4 linked regions of the Saccharomyces cerevisiae S288C genome follow. Changing the gene in region 2 together with the main gene of any one other region gives a genetic interaction. Each region holds a gene or a part of one and is shown on either strand. Other genes may lie near its edges.

What was found.
Region 1: mutations in NUP53 (region 2) and NUP57 together harm fitness more than expected from each alone (negative genetic interaction), as found in Saccharomyces cerevisiae (3 studies listed by BioGRID).
Region 3: mutations in NUP53 (region 2) and NUP188 together harm fitness more than expected from each alone (negative genetic interaction), as found in Saccharomyces cerevisiae (5 studies listed by BioGRID, with this or other methods).
Region 4: mutations in NUP53 (region 2) and POM34 together harm fitness more than expected from each alone (negative genetic interaction), as found in Saccharomyces cerevisiae (6 studies listed by BioGRID, with this or other methods).

Annotation. Positions count from the first base shown.
Region 1 is NC_001139.9:726,948-731,788, reverse strand, and holds NUP57 (FG-nucleoporin NUP57), read left to right. Parts: upstream 1-2,117; coding exon 2,118-3,743; downstream 3,744-4,841. Other genes in the region: ammonium permease MEP1, read left to right, coding at 1-340; Golgi transport complex subunit COG2, read left to right, coding at 968-1,756; 40S ribosomal protein uS12 RPS23A, read right to left, coding at 4,059-4,431, 4,751-4,815. UniProt on the Saccharomyces cerevisiae protein: Functions as a component of the nuclear pore complex (NPC).
Region 2 is NC_001145.3:562,110-566,957, forward strand, and holds NUP53 (FG-nucleoporin NUP53), read left to right. Parts: upstream 1-2,325; coding exon 2,326-3,753; downstream 3,754-4,848. Other genes in the region: endopeptidase catalytic subunit IMP1, read right to left, coding at 1-419; YIM1 (Yim1p), read left to right, coding at 987-2,084; RIM13 (Rim13p), read right to left, coding at 3,890-4,848. UniProt on the Saccharomyces cerevisiae protein: Functions as a component of the nuclear pore complex (NPC).
Region 3 is NC_001145.3:61,590-70,206, reverse strand, and holds NUP188 (Nup188p), read left to right. Parts: upstream 1-2,657; coding exon 2,658-7,625; downstream 7,626-8,617. Other genes in the region: YML100W-A (uncharacterized protein), read right to left, coding at 1-69; CUE4 (Cue4p), read left to right, coding at 119-472; CAC2 (Cac2p), read right to left, coding at 507-1,913; MDM1 (Mdm1p), read left to right, coding at 7,885-8,617. UniProt on the Saccharomyces cerevisiae protein: Functions as a component of the nuclear pore complex (NPC).
Region 4 is NC_001144.5:177,087-181,535, reverse strand, and holds POM34 (Pom34p), read left to right. Parts: upstream 1-1,929; coding exon 1,930-2,829; downstream 2,830-4,449. Other genes in the region: PSR2 (putative phosphatase), read right to left, coding at 55-1,248; MEU1 (S-methyl-5-thioadenosine phosphorylase), read right to left, coding at 2,915-3,928; PML1 (Pml1p), read left to right, coding at 4,120-4,449. UniProt on the Saccharomyces cerevisiae protein: Functions as a component of the nuclear pore complex (NPC).

The sequences.
Region 1 (4,841 bases), on a different chromosome or scaffold from region 2:
CATTGGGTACACTGCTGCTGTAACTGCAATAATCTGCTTTGTGCTCGGCTACATACCCGGTATGAGGCTAAGAATATCAGAAGAGGCAGAGGAGGCGGGTATGGACGAAGATCAAATTGGCGAATTTGCGTACGATTATGTGGAAGTGAGAAGAGATTACTATCTATGGGGTGTAGACGAAGATTCACAACGCTCTGATGTAAATCACCGGGTGAACAACGCTCATTTGGCCGCTGAACGTAGCAGTAGCGGTACTAATAGTTCCTCGGATGGGAATGGAGAAATGATTCAATCCGAAAAGATCCTACCAATTCATCAAGAAGATCCTGCCAATAGGTAAACGGTTTATTGATTTTGTTTCCAGCTTGGCTCTCTTGATTTTTTATGAGCACGTGTTATTTATTCCTTATTCAAACCTTCATATATGTATAGATGTGCATTGTTTATACGTTACCTAGCATTTTAATGACCCTCCTATTTAGTTATCTTTTATCACATTCGTTAAAACCTAGAGGAAAAAAAGAAAACTGGAGGATTTCACAAATCTTCCTCCAATGTTGCTCATTTCAAGCAAAAAACGACCCCAGTGAGGGTTGAACTCACGATCTTGCGATTAACAGTCGCACGCCTTAACCAACTTGGCCATGGAGTCTTTTTGACTATGTTCTCGAGAAAATATAGGCTCTCTTAGTCCTCAACATTTTAATTATTTGAGTACACCAACCGGTAATCGTGAAATAGTTAACACTCTAGATCCAAAAAATACGTATTTAGGTATAATGGGATGTAAGACCGTTTTTATGAGGGTGCCTTATTTAAATTAAAATTATTATTGCTCGGGCCTTTACCTCGATTTCATGGAATTTTCAACAGGACAAGAAAATGAAGCTTAGAAAAAATATAGAATAATAAATAATATGAAAAGGGAATGGTCAACAGTCATAGTCGCAATTTCTCTCAGGGCGAAATGGACTTTTTGAATGATGATGAACTAGACTTAGATTTACCGGTAACCGCAGAAATATCGAAAGAGTTATTCGCAACAGAAATAGAGAAGTATCGTGAATCCGAGACTAATGGGACCGATGTTGATAACTTTGATGTCGACAGATTCCTAGTGCAGAAAAATTTCCATTACCTTCCTCTCGATTCCCTTATTAGAGATTTGTCTGGACTTTCACAAAAAATGGTACAAACATTATTAGAACAAATAAGAAGTAACTACGACGACTATCTGACTTTTTCCAATACCTATACAGATGAAGAAAATGAAACTCTAATAAATTTAGAGAAAACACAAAGTGATCTTCAAAAATTTATGACTCAATTAGATCATTTGATAAAGGATGACATCAGCAATACACAAGAAATTATAAAGGATGTCCTGGAATACCTAAAGAAGTTAGATGAGATTTACGGCTCTCTGCGTAACCATTCACAATTGACAGAAGCGCTCTCACTTGGAAAGAGATTGAGTAAATCTCTCCATGAAATGTGCGGTATAGAACCATTAGAAGAAGAAATTTGCTCTGGCCTGATTGAGCAGTTGTATAAGTTGATTACGGCATCTCGTCGAATATTGGAGTCTTGTGCTGATTCCAATTCACCATATATTCATCATCTGCGCAATGACTATCAAGACCTTCTGCAAGAATTTCAAATCTCACTGAAAATCTTGACCGAAAAGTGTCTTGAAAACCCATCAAGCCTGCAAAACCTATCTTTGACATTAGTCTCCATTATAAAAACGGCATAGTTGGGAGAAAACTTTCCATACTTCAATTGTGGACTGATATAAGTATTTTAGTTTTGCCCGCATGATCATCCCACATGGCTACAGCAGTTCTCTCATAGGAAAATAGTACAATAGCTACGTGATATAATCTAAATAATTGTTGCCAATGTGTAATTATATCATTTTGAACGTACGCGAAATGGATTATTTTCAAAAATTTTGTTTCTTGAAATGAGTAAAAGCAAAAGTCCAACTCTCCAAGTCGATGTAAACAACTTTTTGCCAAAGGGACTGAAAGACTAAATCGAGGATTATCCCGTTCAAACTATTCCAGAAACGCTCGTTAGTAACAAAAGACATACCTTGTTGACCAATTGATCACATGTTTGGTTTCAGCGGTAGTAATAACGGGTTCGGAAATAAACCAGCTGGTTCGACCGGTTTTTCATTTGGACAAAACAATAACAATACAAATACTCAACCTTCGGCTTCAGGATTTGGTTTTGGGGGCAGCCAGCCAAATTCTGGGACGGCTACTACCGGAGGGTTTGGTGCAAATCAGGCCACAAATACTTTTGGAAGTAACCAACAAAGTAGTACAGGTGGAGGCCTTTTCGGTAATAAGCCTGCTCTTGGCAGCCTAGGAAGTTCAAGCACTACCGCTTCAGGAACTACAGCTACTGGAACAGGTTTATTTGGGCAACAAACAGCACAACCTCAACAATCCACCATTGGAGGTGGGTTATTTGGAAACAAGCCAACTACCACAACGGGAGGTCTTTTCGGCAACAGTGCACAAAACAATAGTACCACAAGTGGGGGTTTATTTGGTAATAAAGTAGGATCCACTGGCTCACTGATGGGCGGCAATAGCACTCAAAACACATCTAACATGAATGCAGGCGGACTTTTTGGTGCAAAGCCTCAGAATACTACAGCGACTACGGGAGGCCTATTTGGCAGTAAGCCACAAGGATCAACAACTAATGGTGGCCTGTTTGGAAGCGGCACCCAGAATAACAATACCCTTGGGGGAGGTGGCCTTTTTGGCCAATCCCAGCAGCCTCAAACAAACACTGCGCCCGGACTTGGAAACACGGTATCCACACAACCATCATTTGCTTGGTCTAAGCCTTCAACTGGATCTAATTTACAGCAGCAGCAGCAGCAGCAAATTCAAGTACCGTTGCAACAAACGCAAGCAATTGCTCAACAACAGCAGCTGTCTAATTATCCGCAGCAAATTCAAGAACAGGTGTTGAAATGTAAAGAATCGTGGGATCCAAACACAACGAAAACAAAACTCAGGGCTTTCGTGTACAATAAAGTGAACGAAACGGAAGCCATTTTATATACAAAACCAGGACATGTACTTCAAGAAGAGTGGGATCAGGCAATGGAAAAGAAACCTTCCCCTCAGACAATTCCCATTCAAATATATGGATTTGAGGGTTTGAATCAACGTAATCAAGTACAGACTGAAAATGTAGCCCAAGCTAGAATAATTTTGAACCATATTTTAGAGAAATCCACACAATTGCAACAAAAGCATGAATTGGACACTGCGTCCAGAATTTTGAAGGCACAATCAAGGAATGTTGAAATTGAAAAAAGAATCTTAAAATTGGGCACACAATTGGCAACCCTGAAAAATAGAGGACTGCCATTGGGTATTGCAGAAGAGAAAATGTGGTCGCAATTCCAAACTTTACTACAGCGGAGCGAAGATCCTGCAGGTTTAGGTAAGACTAACGAACTTTGGGCACGTTTGGCTATCTTAAAAGAACGTGCTAAAAACATTTCTAGTCAATTAGATAGTAAATTAATGGTTTTCAACGACGATACAAAAAACCAAGACAGCATGTCCAAAGGCACCGGTGAAGAATCTAATGATCGTATTAATAAGATAGTGGAAATTCTGACGAATCAACAACGCGGTATAACATATTTAAATGAGGTTTTAGAGAAAGATGCTGCAATTGTAAAAAAATATAAAAATAAAACGTAATCAGGTTACTTAAATCAATGACTGAATTGTATAAAGATCGATCTATTACATATATAGCATTATTAACCAACTTAGTATATGAACAGAACTTCAACCCAAGGGAAGCAGACATTCACTATAAAACTTTTCTCAGCATCAAAATAAAGTGCAAATTATGTTGTTTTTTTCTATTGAATTATACATTCTATTAAAGAGAAAATATTGATGTGATTCTCTCCCATTCCTAATAAGAAATTAGAAGGAACTTTCTGGAAGAATAAAGAGATACATTAAGGTACAAAAACAATGTAGTCCTCGAGAGGATAACTTTCGTGCTTATGATCTTGGCTTTTCCTTCTTTTCTTTCCACAAAGCCAACAAGGAGACACCAGAGACCTTAACGACCTTGAATCTAACACCTGGAATATCACCCTTAGCTTTACCCTTTCTACCGAAACCTGCTAGCAAGACTTCATCATTTTCGTCGACAAAGTTCAAACAACCATCGTTTGGAACGAAAGCAGTGACCTTCTTACCGTTCTTGATTAATTGAACTCTAACACACTTTCTGATAGCAGAGTTAGGTTGCTTGGATTCGATACCCAATTTTTCCAAGACGATACCCTTGGCATGAGAAGAACCACCGAATGGAGAAGACTTGAAGGCAGTACCCAACAATCTCTTCTTGTAGTTGTTTTCGGCCCAACGGCTATAATAATAAAAAAAAACTGTTAGTAAAAAAATGATTCCGTTGTAAAAAACGGCCTCCTGTGACTTTCTGAGTTATTTTGGGAAGAAAAGGTTTATTTTCCACACTATAGATTGGGAAGAATGGCCGAAGCTGACCGTTCACTATTCATTACTTTTTATCACTGTGACGTGTCATTTTAAGCCTCTCCAAACTGATTTGCGCCAGGATATGTTACTGATAAATTTATCACTCCAGAGCTCACAACATTTCCTTCACCTAAAACGATATCACAATAGGGGGTTGATAGTTTTTTTTAATTTTGAAATAGTCAACATACTTGTTTCTTCTGTGGACACGTAGCTTTCTAGCAGAGTTCAAACCTCTTGGCTTACCTTTACCCATCTTTGTTTATTTCCTGTTGTCTTAGG
Region 2 (4,848 bases):
CTTGAATCTAATGAATGTGACAAATTATCTCCGGTTACCCAAACATGACCTTCAGGGACTTTAATATAGGTACCAAACCTCTCCTCATCAACAAGCACATCGCCGACATAATTAACTATCGTACTGGGATCCACGAGCACGAGATCACCAGGCATACCCGTAACCCTTTTGCAAATCCTATGATTAGGGTCAGTAGGTTTCAGTGCTACTATGCAGTCACCCATTTTTATGCCTCTACCATTTTGGAAATTTTTCAAGACATGCACATAATCATTGGTCGCTGACAGTGTTGGCAACATTGATTCTCCCCTCGTCTCAGTAAATTCGTATGCATACATATGTATTATATGCAAGAAGCATAATGACCTAATTGCATAAGAAAAGGTTTTTGACCAGATGGGAAGTGTACCAACCGTCATCCCTGGTATTGTACACTGTTGGATGATTCACTGTCTTATTGGTCCGTTTTTGTTTGCAATAATATACTGGAGCATTTTTATTGAAGGAATGTTTTTTCCCCAGAAATACTTAGATTGTCAGAGTGTTATAAATTTGCTGTGCGGTTCAAACCAACAGAAGAGAATATTCAAAGAAAAGCTCAGAATATATCAAGTCCATATTCAAGAGAAGATAGGTTGCAGTAAATTTAACACCCTACTCTTAATTTATCAACTGGGCTCACGACATAAGATCAACAGACAAATAAACGACCTACTGTGTAATTTATGCAGTAAAAATTACATGATTATGCTATTATATGCAGAAATCATTATTTACTCTTCTTTTTCCTGTGTACTGTCGGCGACGATTTTCTTAAGAGGATTCCTGCTGTAAAATCCTTTCAGTGCCCTCTAAAGTTGAGGGGGGCAAAAATACTGTCCTCCTTTTAATACATAAAAAAATGACTGGCCTTTATTTGAATGGAGTAAAACTAAAATATTTCGGCGTTTCTATTATCGAACAACAAAAGGTAATACTTTAAAACTATGTCAGACGAGATTGTAACCAACAAATCTGTTACTTATGTTAACAATACTACTCCAGTCACAATTACATCATCGGAGCTGGACTTGAGATCATGTTATCAAGATGACGAAGTTGTTATAGAAGTCCATGCTGCTGCTTTGAATCCAATTGATTTTATTACTCACCAGCTTTGTAACTCCTACATATTTGGCAAGTATCCAAAGACTTATTCTAGAGATTACAGTGGTGTCATCATTAAAGCGGGAAAGGATGTCGACAATCGCTGGAAGGTTGGCGACAAAGTGAATGGTATGTACAGTCATATTTATGGTGAACGTGGTACTTTAACACACTACTTGATACTCAACCCTGCCAAAGATGTACCCATCACACATATGGTGGAGGTTCCAAAGGACGAAAATGACCCATATGACGACTTTGTATATGCTGCTGCCTGGCCCCTAACATTTGGTACAGCCTTTTCTACATTATACGATTTCAAGAAAGATTGGACTTCTGATTCGAAAGTTCTGGTTATTGGCGCTTCAACCTCTGTGTCATATGCTTTTGTCCATATTGCAAAAAACTACTTCAACATCGGCACTGTTGTTGGCATTTGTAGCAAGAATTCCATTGAACGCAATAAGAAATTAGGATATGACTACTTGGTTCCCTATGACGAAGGATCCATCGTTGAGAATGTTAAGAAATTAAAGCAAAGCGTGTTGGAAAACGACAAATTTGACATGATTTTTGATTCAGTGGGTAACCATGATTTCTTCCCTGTCATTGATCAATTTCTAAAACCTAAGGCGAAAAATTCCTTTTACGTTACAATTGCAGGAAATAACAAGGCCGATTATAAGAATATCAGTTGGAGAGATTTCGTATCATTGAGTTCTATTTTAAAGGCTATAAACCCATTCAAAAAATACAACTGGCGCTTTGGACACCCTTATCCCCCCAACAACTTCATTGAAGTTGGCAACGAAATGATCAAGAAGGGCACTTATAAGCCACCTATTGATTCCGTCTACGAGTTTGATCAATATAAAGAAGCTATTGACAGACTGATGTCCAACAGAGCTAAGGGTAAAGTGGTTGTTAAGATGAAATGAGGGCAATATTTTCCACATAAACTTGTTAGTATATTTAGTTAAACTCTATAATTATAATTGTTATTAGTTTTTGTATTATTTGATGGGCATTACCCGACCGACTTGTCATGAAGTGAAAGAAAAGCTCATCACAATATTTTTAAACAGAATTTAAGATGCATTAGCTGGCAAACTACGTTTCAAATATACAGCTCAGCTAGCCCAAATTCTCTCTGCACTCTCAATAACATAGCTTTTTAAAATGGCAGACCTTCAAAAACAAGAGAATAGTAGCAGGTTCACCAATGTTTCTGTTATCGCGCCCGAATCACAGGGACAACATGAACAACAAAAACAGCAGGAGCAGCTGGAGCAGCAAAAGCAGCCAACGGGACTGTTAAAAGGTTTAAACGGGTTTCCGAGTGCACCACAACCGCTGTTCATGGAAGATCCGCCTTCTACTGTCTCGGGAGAACTGAATGATAATCCAGCGTGGTTCAATAATCCAAGGAAAAGAGCCATTCCAAATTCAATAATAAAGAGATCAAATGGCCAATCTTTAAGCCCCGTACGTTCTGATAGTGCAGATGTACCTGCGTTTTCCAATTCCAATGGATTCAACAATGTCACTTTTGGCTCTAAAAAAGATCCACGCATCCTTAAAAACGTATCTCCAAATGATAATAACAGTGCCAACAACAATGCTCATAGTTCAGATTTAGGTACGGTAGTTTTTGATTCTAATGAGGCACCGCCCAAGACCTCCTTGGCAGATTGGCAAAAAGAAGATGGTATATTTTCAAGTAAGACTGACAATATTGAAGATCCTAATTTGTCTTCCAACATAACCTTTGATGGAAAGCCTACAGCCACACCTTCGCCTTTCCGTCCACTAGAAAAGACCTCCAGAATACTTAATTTCTTCGACAAAAACACGAAAACAACGCCGAATACTGCGTCAAGTGAAGCTAGTGCAGGGAGTAAGGAAGGGGCCTCGACGAATTGGGATGATCATGCCATTATTATCTTTGGATATCCAGAAACGATTGCGAATTCTATTATACTCCATTTTGCTAATTTCGGTGAAATTTTAGAGGATTTTAGAGTGATAAAAGATTTTAAAAAGTTGAATTCGAAAAACATGTCAAAAAGTCCGTCATTGACTGCTCAAAAATATCCCATATATACAGGAGATGGATGGGTCAAGTTGACTTACAAATCCGAACTTTCCAAATCTCGTGCTTTACAAGAAAATGGGATTATAATGAATGGAACATTAATTGGCTGTGTTTCGTATAGTCCGGCTGCTCTCAAACAATTAGCTTCCTTGAAGAAATCGGAGGAAATTATAAACAATAAAACAAGTTCACAAACTAGTTTAAGCTCAAAAGACCTCAGCAATTATAGAAAAACAGAAGGAATTTTTGAGAAAGCTAAGGCAAAAGCAGTTACTTCAAAAGTGCGCAATGCAGAATTCAAGGTTTCCAAGAATTCTACTTCCTTCAAAAATCCACGCAGGCTTGAAATAAAGGATGGTCGTTCATTATTTTTGAGAAACAGAGGGAAGATCCACAGTGGTGTCCTGAGCTCGATCGAGTCTGACTTGAAGAAAAGGGAACAAGCGAGCAAGAGTAAGAAAAGTTGGTTAAATAGATTGAATAATTGGTTATTTGGATGGAATGATTTGTAATGAAAAACCTTACCCCCAAATGTAGTGCTTTGGTGCGATTCCAGCATCCTGTGATGTTCACCTACTTCAAGGTTATATAATTTTGTGTGTAGAATTGTAAAAAGGATGGATAGACAGTTCTTGAGATAAAGCACAGTTATTTTGGTATCACATCATCGGAGTATTTTTCAATTCTGATTTTTTGACTGGACCCAACAAACAACTCCAATTCATCCAATTGTCCTTCCGTAGGTAAACAACTGGAAATAGGTACACTTCTTTCTATCATCAATACAACAATGTTAGTACGAGAGACTTCCAGATCAGGTATAACGATGCCCCCAGATGGACATGTCCTATACTCTTGACATTCATAAACACAGAGAGCTGATTCAGGCTCGAAAATATTACATCGCATCCTTAATCGTGCTGATGATTCCACGGGTACTACACGTATAAAAAGTTTGTTCGTAGAATACTTTTTGGTTGGCAAAGTCATCTGAATTTTAAGTTTGTCTGAAGTTTCCTTCCAATGGAACCTGTTGCGACAATGATATGGATAAGTACCGTATATCAAGTTAACACTCCGTAAAGTTATTCCAGATATTAACCTCCATGAAGAGGATAACCGTATCGAGGCAAGTAATTCAAATTCCGTTGAGGCTGGAGGGCCGTAAGTTGAGCATACAATCATATATTTGACATTAGTTAAGATGGGCACGTCTTGTTTAAGGCCCTGCCCGGGCTGATAGTGGTTATCAAACATTATTGGCTTTATCAATTCATAGTCATTAAAGTAATATACTTGGATGTTAATTAAATCATGTGAGCTAGTTGAGATACATGCGGCGTCCATAAGTACTTGATAATCTTGTTCAGAGTGAACTTCCAACTCAAAAGTCGGATTTTGAAAAAAATTACAAGTATCAAATGAGGCTTTTCCCTCTATTTCATAAGGAAAAGAGAAAAGGACTTTGGCAAAAAGACTTTTTGTATCTTTCAATCTTTGAAAACATATTTCCTTCACAACTGAGAAAGAGTGAATACTGAAATTGTTGTTTGTTGTTGAATAACAATACAATAACCTCTCAGTCTCAGCATCTAATCTCAACTTTA
Region 3 (8,617 bases), 500 kb from region 2:
AGAAATTTCGCAATAAGTTACTACAATGGTGCCCGCTTTAGAATAATAACTCGGGACACATTTATACATTCCCACACACACAGACGAGGCACGGCTACCCACGCGCACAAAAGTAAAAATGGATGGATCGACTATAGTGTTTATACTGACGATGGTGTGCTTGTTTGTTTACACCGTGAAACACAGGGGCGCCAAGCAAGTACCCTCGCGAACCGTACAGGATGCCAAACCGGCGCCCTCGGTCGCCACCAACGACCCTTCTCCGGAGCCAGTACCATCGGCTCCGGAGGAACGCGTTGCTCGGTTAAACAGACATGGTAGTGATCGAAAGAGAGCCGTTAATAGTGACATGGTTGAAATCGTGATGACGATGGCGCCACATGTGCCTCAGGAAAAAGTCGTGCAAGATCTCAGGAACACAGGGTCCATTGAGCACACAATGGAAAATATCTTCGCTGGCAAACTAGATTAGGCATTCTTATGTACCGCATTAAATATATTAAAAATCACAAATCGACTGGCGTAGGATGTATGCGCCTCTTTTTACTATCGCTACTATTGCAGGGGATCTTCTTCACCGGCAGCATGTTCACGATCCCACCTGCCTCGCGCTGGTTCTTAGCCGCTACCGCGCTCTCGTCAGTGTCTAGTGGCTCTGCATGCATCGCTGGCGGCTCTATCCTTGAACCGAATTGCGTTTCTGTGTCGATCGATACATACGAACAGAATCCGTCTGTTGATGAGATTAGTAGGGTCGAGCCATCCTCAGACCATGCTAAATCAGTTATGGGTGAGTAATGTATATTTCCCACAACGCATAACGGCTCCAATACATCCGTGTCGTACACGAGTACTTCGTTAGTCGTTGCTATGGCAAATACTAGCTTATAGGGCAGCTTAAGCACACTCTTCTGGCACGTTTCGTAAAATACGGGCGAGAAAGCCGCCATCAGCGCTGGTTTCTTCAAAGATGGGATTCTAATCGCAGGCCGGTTTTTAACGCCACCAGCGCTGTTCAGTATTCCAGATCTAGTATACACGTATACGCAGTTCGCGACTTCATCACCAGCCACCTTATACACACCACTGGGAATTACGACCAAACCACCACAAGGCGATATGCTGCATCGCCTAAAGAATGAAGGTAGCGTCTCGTTGTGAAAAAGGTAATTTGTCCTCAGGACATCACCTGGACAAGGCAGTTCTGCCTTGGCAATCTTACTTCTAAGTTTCAGCCCTGTAACCACTCCTGCAGATGAAAGAATGACTCCATATACATGCAGAGACCGGTCCGCAGACTGTGAGAGAATAAACTGATTTAATGGGTCCCATGCAACACCTTGGACGTAGTGACCATGATCCGACTGGCCGCATACCAGCATCCCAGCTCCAACATCGAACAGTCGTATCGAATTGTCCATACATGCCACCACTATGTTCCTGTTATCAGGTGACCACGCTAGATCGTAAATCTCTGCCGCCGCAGTAGCACCGCTACCACCACGCAGCCGTTTCCACACAACCCATTTCTCCTTGTTCTCGTCTGCTTCACTAGTCTCCGCATCCATTCCGAATGGTCTGACCACAGATTCTTGCTGTGTATTTGGATCTTCTTGCTTCCATAGCAGCACTTGGCCGTCATCGCCCGCAGACGCCAGTACGTCACCCTTCGAGTTGAATCGGATTACATTTATGGCCTGTTCGTGATGCGTCAGCGAGCCAAGAAAGTCAAGGCTTTCAATCTTACGCACCCCCCCATTTTGTCCGTTTTCATCTCTGTTCAACTTCCATATCCTAACCTTGTTATCACCACCAGCGGTGAAAAGCTTGTCGTTCGCACTGTTCTTTTGGAATGTGAGCGAGTAAACGGGTTGTGAATCATGCCAGTAGATTTGCAAATGTGAAGCTTCCATTGTCCTGCCCCTTTGCTCTAAGCTTTTCTGCCTCCTTCTTTTAAATTCTGATACGTACTATAACGCTATAATAATAGCCCATCAGTTAGACAGCGAGTTAACTAACGTGTTCGCCGGGCAACCCAAGGAAATAAGGCGTCCTTTTCACATTTTCATATTTTTTCAAATTTTTTTCAATTCTAATTTTCCTTTTTCTCCCCCACCGTCTATAAAAGCTAGTAGTTTTCTACTTTTCACCACAGAAATCTATTCCTTCGATAACAGTCCCTAAATAAAAACACGACAAAAAGGCCCCACGCAAGCATGTGCAGCAACGGACAGGCGTCGTGCGCACAAACTTGCTCAGGGGCCCGAATACTAGCACATATGTCAAATTCCTAATTAACGTTTTTTATATTCATCGTTTCTTAGAGCCGTAATTGTGCTGATATCAATATCAGGGAAGAACATACCATATAGAGGTGTCAAGTACACCGAACGATCGTGGTGCTCCCTCAGCCACGGGCGTGCTTGGACGCTATTCCCACATATATACGCAAACAATCTATGTCTTCTCCCTCCTTGCCAGAAAGCCGGCTCCTGCTTGTAGTTAAGGTATATATGTATATATTCCGGGTAAGAATATTTTGTAATACCAAAAATTTTCTTCTTGAAATGAATACTTTGAGACATCTTTAATATTCGAACAGAAACACAAATAAAGAGATAACCCTTTCCACCGCTAAAAAAAGGACCCCATCAGCCATGGCTACACCTTCATTTGGCAATTCCTCTCCACAATTGACCTTCACTCATGTTGCTAATTTTATGAACGATGCTGCTGCTGATGTATCCGCTGTGGATGCCAAGCAATTGGCCCAAATAAGACAGTTTTTGAAAGCTAACAAGACAAATCTTATCGAGAGTCTGAACACAATAAGGCAGAATGTAACTTCTTCCGGCGATCATAACAAGTTACGCTCTACAATTGCAAACTTATTGCAAATAAACGTCGATAATGATCCATTCTTTGCTCAATCTGAGGACCTTTCTCATGCTGTAGAATTCTTTATGTCTGAGAGATCATCTAGACTTCATATAGTATACTCACTTCTCGTTAACCCTGACATCGACCTCGAGACATATTCATTTATTGACAACGATAGATTCAATGTAGTGGGGAAATTGATTTCTATAATATCATCTGTAATCCAGAACTACGACATTATTACAGCTTCATCTTTAGCACATGATTATAATAACGATCAAGACATGTTCACAATTGTCTCATTGGTGCAGTTAAAAAAATTTTCTGATTTGAAGTTTATCTTGCAGATATTACAAATTTTGAATTTAATGATCCTCAACACAAAAGTACCAGTAGATATCGTCAATCAATGGTTTCTACAGTATCAAAATCAATTTGTTGAATTTTGCAGAAATATAAATTCAACAGACAAGAGTATAGATACCTCGTCACTACAATTGTACAAGTTTCAGAATTTCCAAGACCTCAGTTACCTCTCAGAAACGCTTATTTCCAGGATTTCATCTTTATTTACTATCACAACTATATTGATACTTGGACTGAACACTTCAATCGCGCAATTTGATATTCAGTCACCTTTGTACATGGATACAGAAACTTTCGACACCGTCAATAGCGCTCTAGAGAATGATGTAGCAACCAATATCGTCAACGAGGACCCCATTTTCCATCCAATGATTCATTACTCCTGGTCATTTATACTTTATTATAGGCGAGCATTACAATCGTCGGAATCATTTGATGATTCAGACATAACGAAATTTGCTCTGTTTGCTGAATCACATGATGTTCTTCAAAAATTGAATACTCTCTCAGAAATTCTATCCTTTGATCCTGTTTACACCACAGTAATAACAGTATTTTTGGAGTTTTCTTTAAATTTTATTCCTATAACTGCATCTACTTCCCGGGTTTTCGCCAAGATAATTTCAAAGGCACCAGAGCAGTTCATTGAGAATTTCTTAACTAATGACACTTTTGAGAAAAAATTGAGCATCATAAAGGCTAAATTGCCCCTATTGAACGAATCACTGATCCCGCTAATTAATTTAGCCTTAATTGATACCGAGTTTGCCAATTTTGAATTAAAAGATATATGTTCATTTGCTGTTACCAAAAGTAGTTTGAACGATTTGGATTATGACTTAATTGCTGATACAATAACAAACTCTTCTTCATCCTCCGATATTATAGTGCCTGATTTGATAGAGTTGAAGTCTGATTTACTAGTGGCGCCACCCTTAGAAAACGAAAACTCTAATTGTCTCTTGTCAATACCAAAATCAACAAAGGGAAAAATTCTTACTATCAAACAACAACAACAACAACAACAACAACAGAATGGACAACAGCCGCCAACTACTTCCAATTTGATTATTTTCCTTTACAAATTCAATGGTTGGTCTTTGGTGGGTAGAATATTGCAAAATCTATTACATTCATATATGGAAAAGGGTACACAACTGGATGACTTACAACATGAATTGATGATATCCATAATAAAGTTAGTCACTAACGTTGTCGATCCGAAAACCTCGATCGAGAAATCTAGTGAAATTCTGTCATATTTATCAAATTCTCTGGATACTTCAGCCAGCACCATAAATGGAGCGTCGATTATCCAAGTAATTTTCGAGATTTTTGAAATATCACTACAAAGAAAAGATTATACCTCAATTGTACAATGTTGTGAATTTATGACTATGCTGACACCGAATTACCTTCATCTTGTTTCTTCTTACTTGAACAAATCGGATTTGTTAGACAAATATGGTAAGACTGGTCTTTCCAATATGATACTCGGTTCGGTTGAATTATCTACGGGGGATTACACATTCACTATCCAATTGCTTAAGCTAACAAAAGTCTTTATTCGAGAATCTCTCTCATTGAAAAATATCCATATTTCCAAGAGAAGTAAAATTGATATTATTAATAAGTTGATTCTACATGCAATTCATATCTTTGAGAGTTATTACAACTGGAAGTACAACAACTTCTTACAAAAATTCGAAATTGCCTTCCATTTGACATTAATTTTTTATGATGTACTTCATGACGTTTTCACCATAAATCCACATCAAAAGGATCAGTTAATCATTTCCTCGTCAGCAAACAAATTGTTGCAGTTATTTTTGACTCCCATGGATTCCATTGATTTGGCTCCAAATACTTTGACGAATATTCTGATTTCACCATTGAATACCACAACAAAAATTTTAGGCGACAAAATTTTGGGTAATTTATATAGCAAGGTAATGAATAACTCCTTCAAGCTGTGCACGCTTTTGATCGCTATTCGAGGTAGCAATCGTGATTTAAAGCCAAGCAACCTGGAAAAATTGCTTTTCATAAATTCATCAAAATTGGTTGACGTTTATACCCTACCAAGTTATGTTCATTTCAAAGTGCAGATCATAGAGTTGTTAAGCTATTTAGTAGAGGCTCCTTGGAATGACGACTATCCATTTCTGTTATCTTTCCTTGGTGAAGCAAAGTCAATGGCATTTTTGAAAGAAGTCCTGTCGGACCTGAGCTCTCCAGTGCAAGATTGGAACCTTCTCCGAAGTTTGTACATTTTTTTTACTACCCTATTAGAAAGTAAACAAGATGGGTTATCTATCCTCTTCTTAACAGGTCAATTTGCCTCCAATAAAAAAATTAATGACGAATCCTCCATAGACAAAAAGAGTTCTATATTAACTGTTTTGCAAAAGAATTCTTTACTATTAGATTCAACGCCTGAAGAAGTAAGTTGCAAGTTATTAGAAACGATAACATATGTTTTAAACACTTGGACAAATTCTAAAATATTCATAAAAGATCCTAAATTTGTGAATTCCTTATTGGCTAAGTTGAAGGACTCAAAAAAATTATTTCAGAAAAAGGAAAATTTGACTCGTGACGAAACTGTTTCTTTGATTAAGAAATACAAATTGATCTCAAGGATTGTAGAAATATTTGCGTTGTGTATTTACAACTCCACTGATTCAAACTCGGAAATTTTAAATTTTTTGAATCAGGAAGACTTGTTTGAATTAGTTCATCATTTCTTCCAAATTGATGGGTTCAATAAAACTTTTCATGATGAATTAAACTTAAAATTTAAAGAGAAATGGCCCAGTTTAGAGCTTCAGTCGTTCCAAAAAATTCCATTATCCAGAATAAACGAAAATGAGAATTTCGGTTATGATATTCCGTTATTAGATATAGTTTTAAAAGCTGACCGTAGTTGGAACGAACCAAGTAAGAGTCAGACAAATTTTAAGGAGGAAATAACAGACGCTTCATTAAATTTGCAGTATGTCAATTACGAAATATCTACCGCAAAAGCATGGGGCGCACTAATCACCACGTTTGTGAAGAGGAGCACTGTTCCGTTAAATGATGGTTTTGTCGACTTGGTAGAGCATTTCCTCAAGTTAAATATTGATTTTGGTTCAGATAAACAAATGTTTACCCAAATATATCTGGAAAGAATTGAGTTGTCGTTTTACATTTTATATTCGTTCAAGTTGTCGGGAAAATTGTTGAAGGAAGAAAAGATAATTGAATTGATGAACAAGATTTTTACAATTTTCAAATCTGGTGAGATTGACTTTATTAAAAATATTGGTAAGTCACTAAAAAATAACTTTTATAGACCTCTTTTGAGATCTGTCTTAGTTCTTCTCGAGTTAGTCTCGTCAGGAGATCGTTTTATCGAATTAATATCTGATCAACTACTGGAATTTTTTGAATTAGTGTTTAGTAAGGGTGTTTATTTGATACTGTCTGAGATATTATGTCAGATCAATAAATGCTCCACGAGGGGTTTAAGCACCGATCACACCACCCAAATTGTCAACTTGGAGGATAATACTCAGGATTTATTGTTATTATTATCACTCTTCAAGAAGATCACCAATGTGAATCCCTCTAAAAACTTCAATGTTATTCTAGCATCATCCCTAAACGAAGTAGGAACTTTGAAAGTTATACTGAACCTATATTCAAGCGCGCATTTGATAAGGATTAACGATGAACCAATTCTTGGGCAAATTACTCTGACCTTTATCTCCGAATTGTGTTCTATTGAGCCAATTGCTGCAAAACTCATCAACAGTGGATTGTATAGCGTTCTATTGGAAAGTCCACTATCTGTTGCAATACAGCAAGGTGATATAAAACCTGAATTTTCGCCTAGATTGCACAACATTTGGAGCAATGGTTTGTTATCCATTGTTCTACTACTATTAAGTCAGTTCGGTATCAAGGTTTTACCTGAGACGTGCCTATTTGTTTCATATTTTGGAAAACAAATAAAATCTACAATATATAACTGGGGTGACAACAAGTTAGCAGTGTCAAGTTCGTTGATAAAGGAAACGAATCAATTGGTTTTATTGCAAAAAATGCTAAACTTGCTAAATTACCAAGAATTGTTTATTCAGCCTAAAAACTCTGATGATCAACAAGAAGCTGTAGAATTGGTTATTGGTCTAGATTCTGAACATGATAAAAAAAGGTTAAGCGCTGCATTAAGCAAGTTTCTAACACATCCAAAATACTTGAATTCAAGAATAATACCTACAACTTTAGAAGAGCAACAGCAGTTGGAGGATGAATCAAGCAGATTGGAGTTCGTCAAGGGTATCAGCAGAGACATTAAAGCATTACAAGATTCACTATTTAAGGACGTTTAACTTATTTTGCAGGTTATGTAAAGCTACATAATATAATAATGAACAGTGCAAGTGCAAGGGTGGCCCTTTGTTGCTATACTGCGGACTGCGACTGTATGAGCTTTTTCCATCCCAGTTCTATCCATTGTGTACTTTTTTTTTTCATCGCCTTACGAACTTCAAAAATATGTAAACAATAAGATAAGTAAATTAACCGAAGACTCTCATGCTTTGAAAGCGCCATAAGTGCGCGTGTTTGTGCCTTCTGATATGATATCGTATGCCTAAGTTTCCACAGTTTCGATTGATTTTAGTTTTGTTTTACTTAATATCAATGATACAATGGTCGGTAATCACTTTTTCGCTGGGGTTCTTTCTTAATGTCTGCATCTTTGCGTACTTCGTATTCTTCAAATCCTTGCCTGATTTACCGAAACCTCAGCCAAGATTTGTTGATATCGTACCGGAAAGTTCGAATACTGTGGATGTTGATAAAGAATTGAAGTCTGTCGAGGGTTTAATACAAGATGGGAACGCGCAAATTGGGAAAGAATTAGAGAGTATTGTTAATTTAATTATTAAAGATTTTGTTCAGCCTTGGTTCACAAAAATCGATAAGAATAGTGACGCAGAGTTCCTCAAAGTAATAAAGTGGAGATTATTACAAACGCTCCTAGTGGTGAAGGACAAGTTGATGAAGAATGATAGTGCCAGCTTGATTGTTCTGAAGCTGTTGCCTATATTTAACAAACATTTCAGCACTTTTTGTGATGCCAGAGAAGCTGTGCTAAGCGATTTGACTCTTGAAAGGCATAAATCAGCCAACATCGATCTACAAATTGCCGTTGAGTTTAATAAAAATTACAAAATACATAAATCATTATCATTGAAGCCGAATGCTCTTCAGAAAGAAATTGAAAAATCCATAAGGAAAACTGTAATCGGGCTCCTTCCTCACCTTTTTGATAATGATGAGTTAGATTCATTGCTTGTTTTCACATTAATGACGGAAG
Region 4 (4,449 bases), on a different chromosome or scaffold from region 2:
ATAACCGAAGGGGGGGGTAATAAAAAGAGCCTGCTTTTTATGTTACTGAGAAATCTATATCGTCACATCCAACACGCTCCCCACATCCAACACGTTTCCTGATGAAAGGTCCTCCAAAAGTGGGATAATATCTAGTAACTCATTATCATGAGTATCAGAGAACCAAGAAGATATCGGAACAGCATGTTGCGGATGAAAGATGTAAGAGGCCGGCGAATTATCTAAGATGATTGTTTCGGACAATGGTCTTCCGATCTGCGATAAGTTCTTGATGTAGTTACCTTCGTAGTTATAACAAGCTTCTCTGAATAATCGATGATGGATGGTTCCATTAGGGTCCAACGTATCTAAAAGGGGGTTTGCATACCTCGAAACACTTGCCGTGAACACAACAACTTCGTATAGTTGACTCACCCTGTTCAAGAACTCATCGACGCCTGGCCTCTTAATAACATAGACATTGTGAACTTGATCATCGATTTCGACGGGCAAAACGAAATCAGCTGAATGCATATATTTAAAGGAAGAATGTACCAAAGTTTCGTCTAGATCCAATATCAGACATTTTTTCTGTTGAAATTCTTGCAACTTGGGTGGTAGCAGAGTGTCGTATCCGGGGGCATGGTACTGGTCTGGTTGCAAATGCGTCAGGTCAGAGAAGTCCTCCTCCGTTGTAGGTATCAAGTTTAAATCATTATCAGGACTGCTGGCGACATATTGTGGATTCATATCTTCTTGACCCACCTGATACAGACCCTGTTGTGGTGGCGCCTCGTCATTAATACTGGAATTTCTATCTGCGTCAACGTTATATTCATGAACGACATGGTCTTGCTTTTCTTTTGCTTCGTCATCTTCTTCTTCTTCTTCTCCGGCATTGTTAACCTCCGTCATTTCTACGTCTCCTTCATTATAATCTTCATATTCTTTCTCCTCATCGTACGAGTTGTTGGAGTGATCTCTTGATAAAGGTGCTAGTTTTCCATTGCCGCTATTCCCATTCTCCTGCATTGTCTTGGAACCCGCATTGCTGCCTGAATCGGAACTAGACAAAAGGATCTCCGGTGTGGAATATTGCATCTTGTCGCCGTTTGGAGTAGCCTTCTGCTTACGACCCTGAGTTTGAGCTTTGTTTGAACTGTGCTTACGGTTGCGGTTGCGGTTGTGATTAGTTTCTGGTGGTTGGCGTTGACGATGTGTTTTGGAAGTATCTGAAGAACAGCACAGTATATTTGCTATAAATCCCATCTGATGATGATCTGAAAAAGCTCCCTAAAACAGACAGAGAAGCACTCTTCACTCAGTTTTTATTGCCAAATAAGTGGAAAATTAAAACGAAAGAACTCAAAAGCAGCACTGCGCTCGAAGAAAGATATATCTTAGCTTAAATCCTCTCCAAAAGGGGAGAACGAAGAATATGTGTAAATTAAGCGATGCTTCGTGGGTTTCTTTTACGCGCTGCGAAAAAGATAATCAAATCTCTAAATTTTAGAAATATAAGCCAGTCGGTAGCCCCCACAAGTCAATTATATATGTCAAAGTTCGTGGCACTGTGGACTGCTTTCATAAAGCTTCTCTTTATCTGTTCCTTAGACTGTGAATACTGAGGTTTTCTAAAAAAAAGCAAAAAAAAAAAAAGAGGGTCCAAACCTATTAACTTCAGGGTTTAAGTATCTTTTTTGTAGGTTATAATGTTCTTTTTATAAACCTTTCTCAGGTTATAATAATATTTCTCAGGTCTAATTAGGGCTAAAGTCTAAAGAAAAATGAAAAAAAAAAAAAATGAAATTTGTGCTAATAGTAATAATGATAGAAATAATAACAATTAATAAGATGGTTATGATGAACAAAAAGATTTATATTATAAGAACTTGACAATATACAGACTTTTAATATATCCGCAGAGGCAAAAAAATAATAGAGGGAACTATGAAGATTCAGGCGGGCCAATTGGGCCTGGACGATAATGACGTGCCGGGACCATTGCCGGACACAGACAGCAAACCCTCATCACAATCACAAAATGACACACCAATGTTTAAATTGGGCAACTTTGAAAGTCCTGTGCTCAAGGAGCTATCACGGCGAACGGTAAACAAGGAAATGGAGACGCAGAGAATTATGACAAACGTAATTGCGTTTGCGTTCTGGAACCTGCTGGTGAAGTTCATCAAGTTCTTTTGGAACAACACTCATGTTGGGAGACAGTTTTGCAACCGGCTATCCAGAATCCATCTGTACATGTTGACATTTCACACGTTAAAGAAGGCTAACATCATATATCACACCACGTTCAGTTGGTTGAATGCAGAACTTCTTGACTACTTGTTCCACCTATTAATCTCGCTCAATATACTGTTTTCTCTTTGGAAGCTCTTATCCACCGTCAAAGTAAGTGATTTGAATCTCACTGACAGGCAAAAGAAGCTCCTGGGGGTAGACATGCAATCATCTGTCGATACTGGGTTGCAGCCACAACACCCCCACTACGTATCCACTTCTAAGATCAGCCAAATGGCACAGAACAAAACACATATTCCTCAAACAAATCTCAAAAATCATCCAGCATATCTCTTCAAAGGCTTAGAGACGCCTTTGAAAGCAAGACAAAGGGAAATGGCGGAGGAACAGACGAAACTACAATCTCAATCCTTACACACAAAGAATGTATTTGGCACACTGCAGAGGCATAGCGGTATCAGTAGCACATTAGTGAGCGCTAACAATGACAATAACTCGCCGCATACCCCTGTAACTAGGAAGGGCTACATTCCAAGTAGCAAATATGCATATATGATGAACTCACAGTCCCCAAGGGGGAAAATATAAAAACAGCAAAAAAACATTTAATACTTTCCATAGCTATATATGTTTTCTCTCCTATTTATATTTTACATATGATTAGCGGCAACCATTACCAATAGTTTGGAAATAAGTATCTTAGTCTTTCTAAGGTTTCCTTGGACATAGCCTCTGGTTTGGTAGAGATAGATTTCTTGATGGAACCGCGCAGCCCATCGCCAGTATGCATGAACTCTGGGATTTCCTTGGCCATTGAGACGATGATCTTAGAAGCTAAAATATTTGCATTGCGCCCATTATTCGTCAAATTACCAATAACGGTTTCTACGGTAACAGGTTCTGCCTCATCTCTCCATGCGTCGTAATCGGTAGACATACAAATCATCTGGTAAGGCAGCTCACACTCACGCGCCAATTTGGCTTCTGGAATAACACTCATGTTAATAACATGGCCACCAAACATTCTGTACATCTTGGATTCAGCGCGCGTGGAGAATTGTGGGCCTTCCATACACACAACGGTCATATCCTTGTCGTAATGCAAATGGCACGGTTCTTCGGATTCAGGATTTGTTATCTCGTTCTTGAATTGATAGATATACTCTGCGAATTTTTGAGAGAACGGCTGTCCGAAACCAACGTGACCTACCAAGCCTTCATCGTTGAAATATGAAGAATGTCTTATGCCTTTAGTTCTGTCGATTATTTGCTGTGGTAACACAAAATCTCTAGGCTTTATATGGGGTTGTAAAGACCCCACGGCACTAAAAGAAAGAACGGCTTTACAATTTAAGTTCTTTAAGGCCGCCATGTTTGCTCTAAATGGGACTTTAGTGGGTGGGTATTCGTGGTTAATACCGTGTCTGGCTATGAACGCAACGTGAAAGTGGCTGTTAGTTCCTACGAACTGAGAGATTGTGACAGGAGACGATGTGGTACCCCATGGTGTTACCATGGGTGGAAGCAAAGCGATGGGCTCCAGACAGTCAAGGTTATATAAACCTGTACCACCAATAATCCCTAAATCAACAGTTCCTTCGAATATGCTCGGTAATTCTGAGTTCGTCATAACTTTGCTTAGTTTTAATCTCTTAGCAACAGAAAATGTATTCTTAATCCTGTTCATTTAATCTCATCTCATCTCGAAATAGTTTTTTTTCATTCACACGTTCATCTTTTTTCATTTTTCTTTTTCTTTTTTTTGCTTTCTTTTCACATAATTGACAATAAAGGCGTCCTACAATAGAAGCCTTGGTATAACGTAAAAGCCACAGCAAGCATGGTGTACTTCATTTCCGACTCCATTTGCGTATAGACATGTTTCACAGACGCAAAAGACCTTATAACACCAGAAATTATGGCCATGATGACAAGAAATTCAAATCGCAGTACATCGATATTATGCCAGACTTCAGCCCTTCCGGTCTGTTAGAGCTGGAGTCGAATAACAAAGAAGGTATAGCTTTAAAACATGTGGAGCCGCAGGACGCTATTTCTCCAGATAACTACATGGATATGCTAGGACTGGAGGCGCGAGATAGGACTATGTATGAACTAGTGATATACAGAAAGAATGACAAGGATAAAGGACCGTGGAAAAGATACGATTTGAACGGCAGGAGCTGTTATTTAGTCGGTCGTGAACTG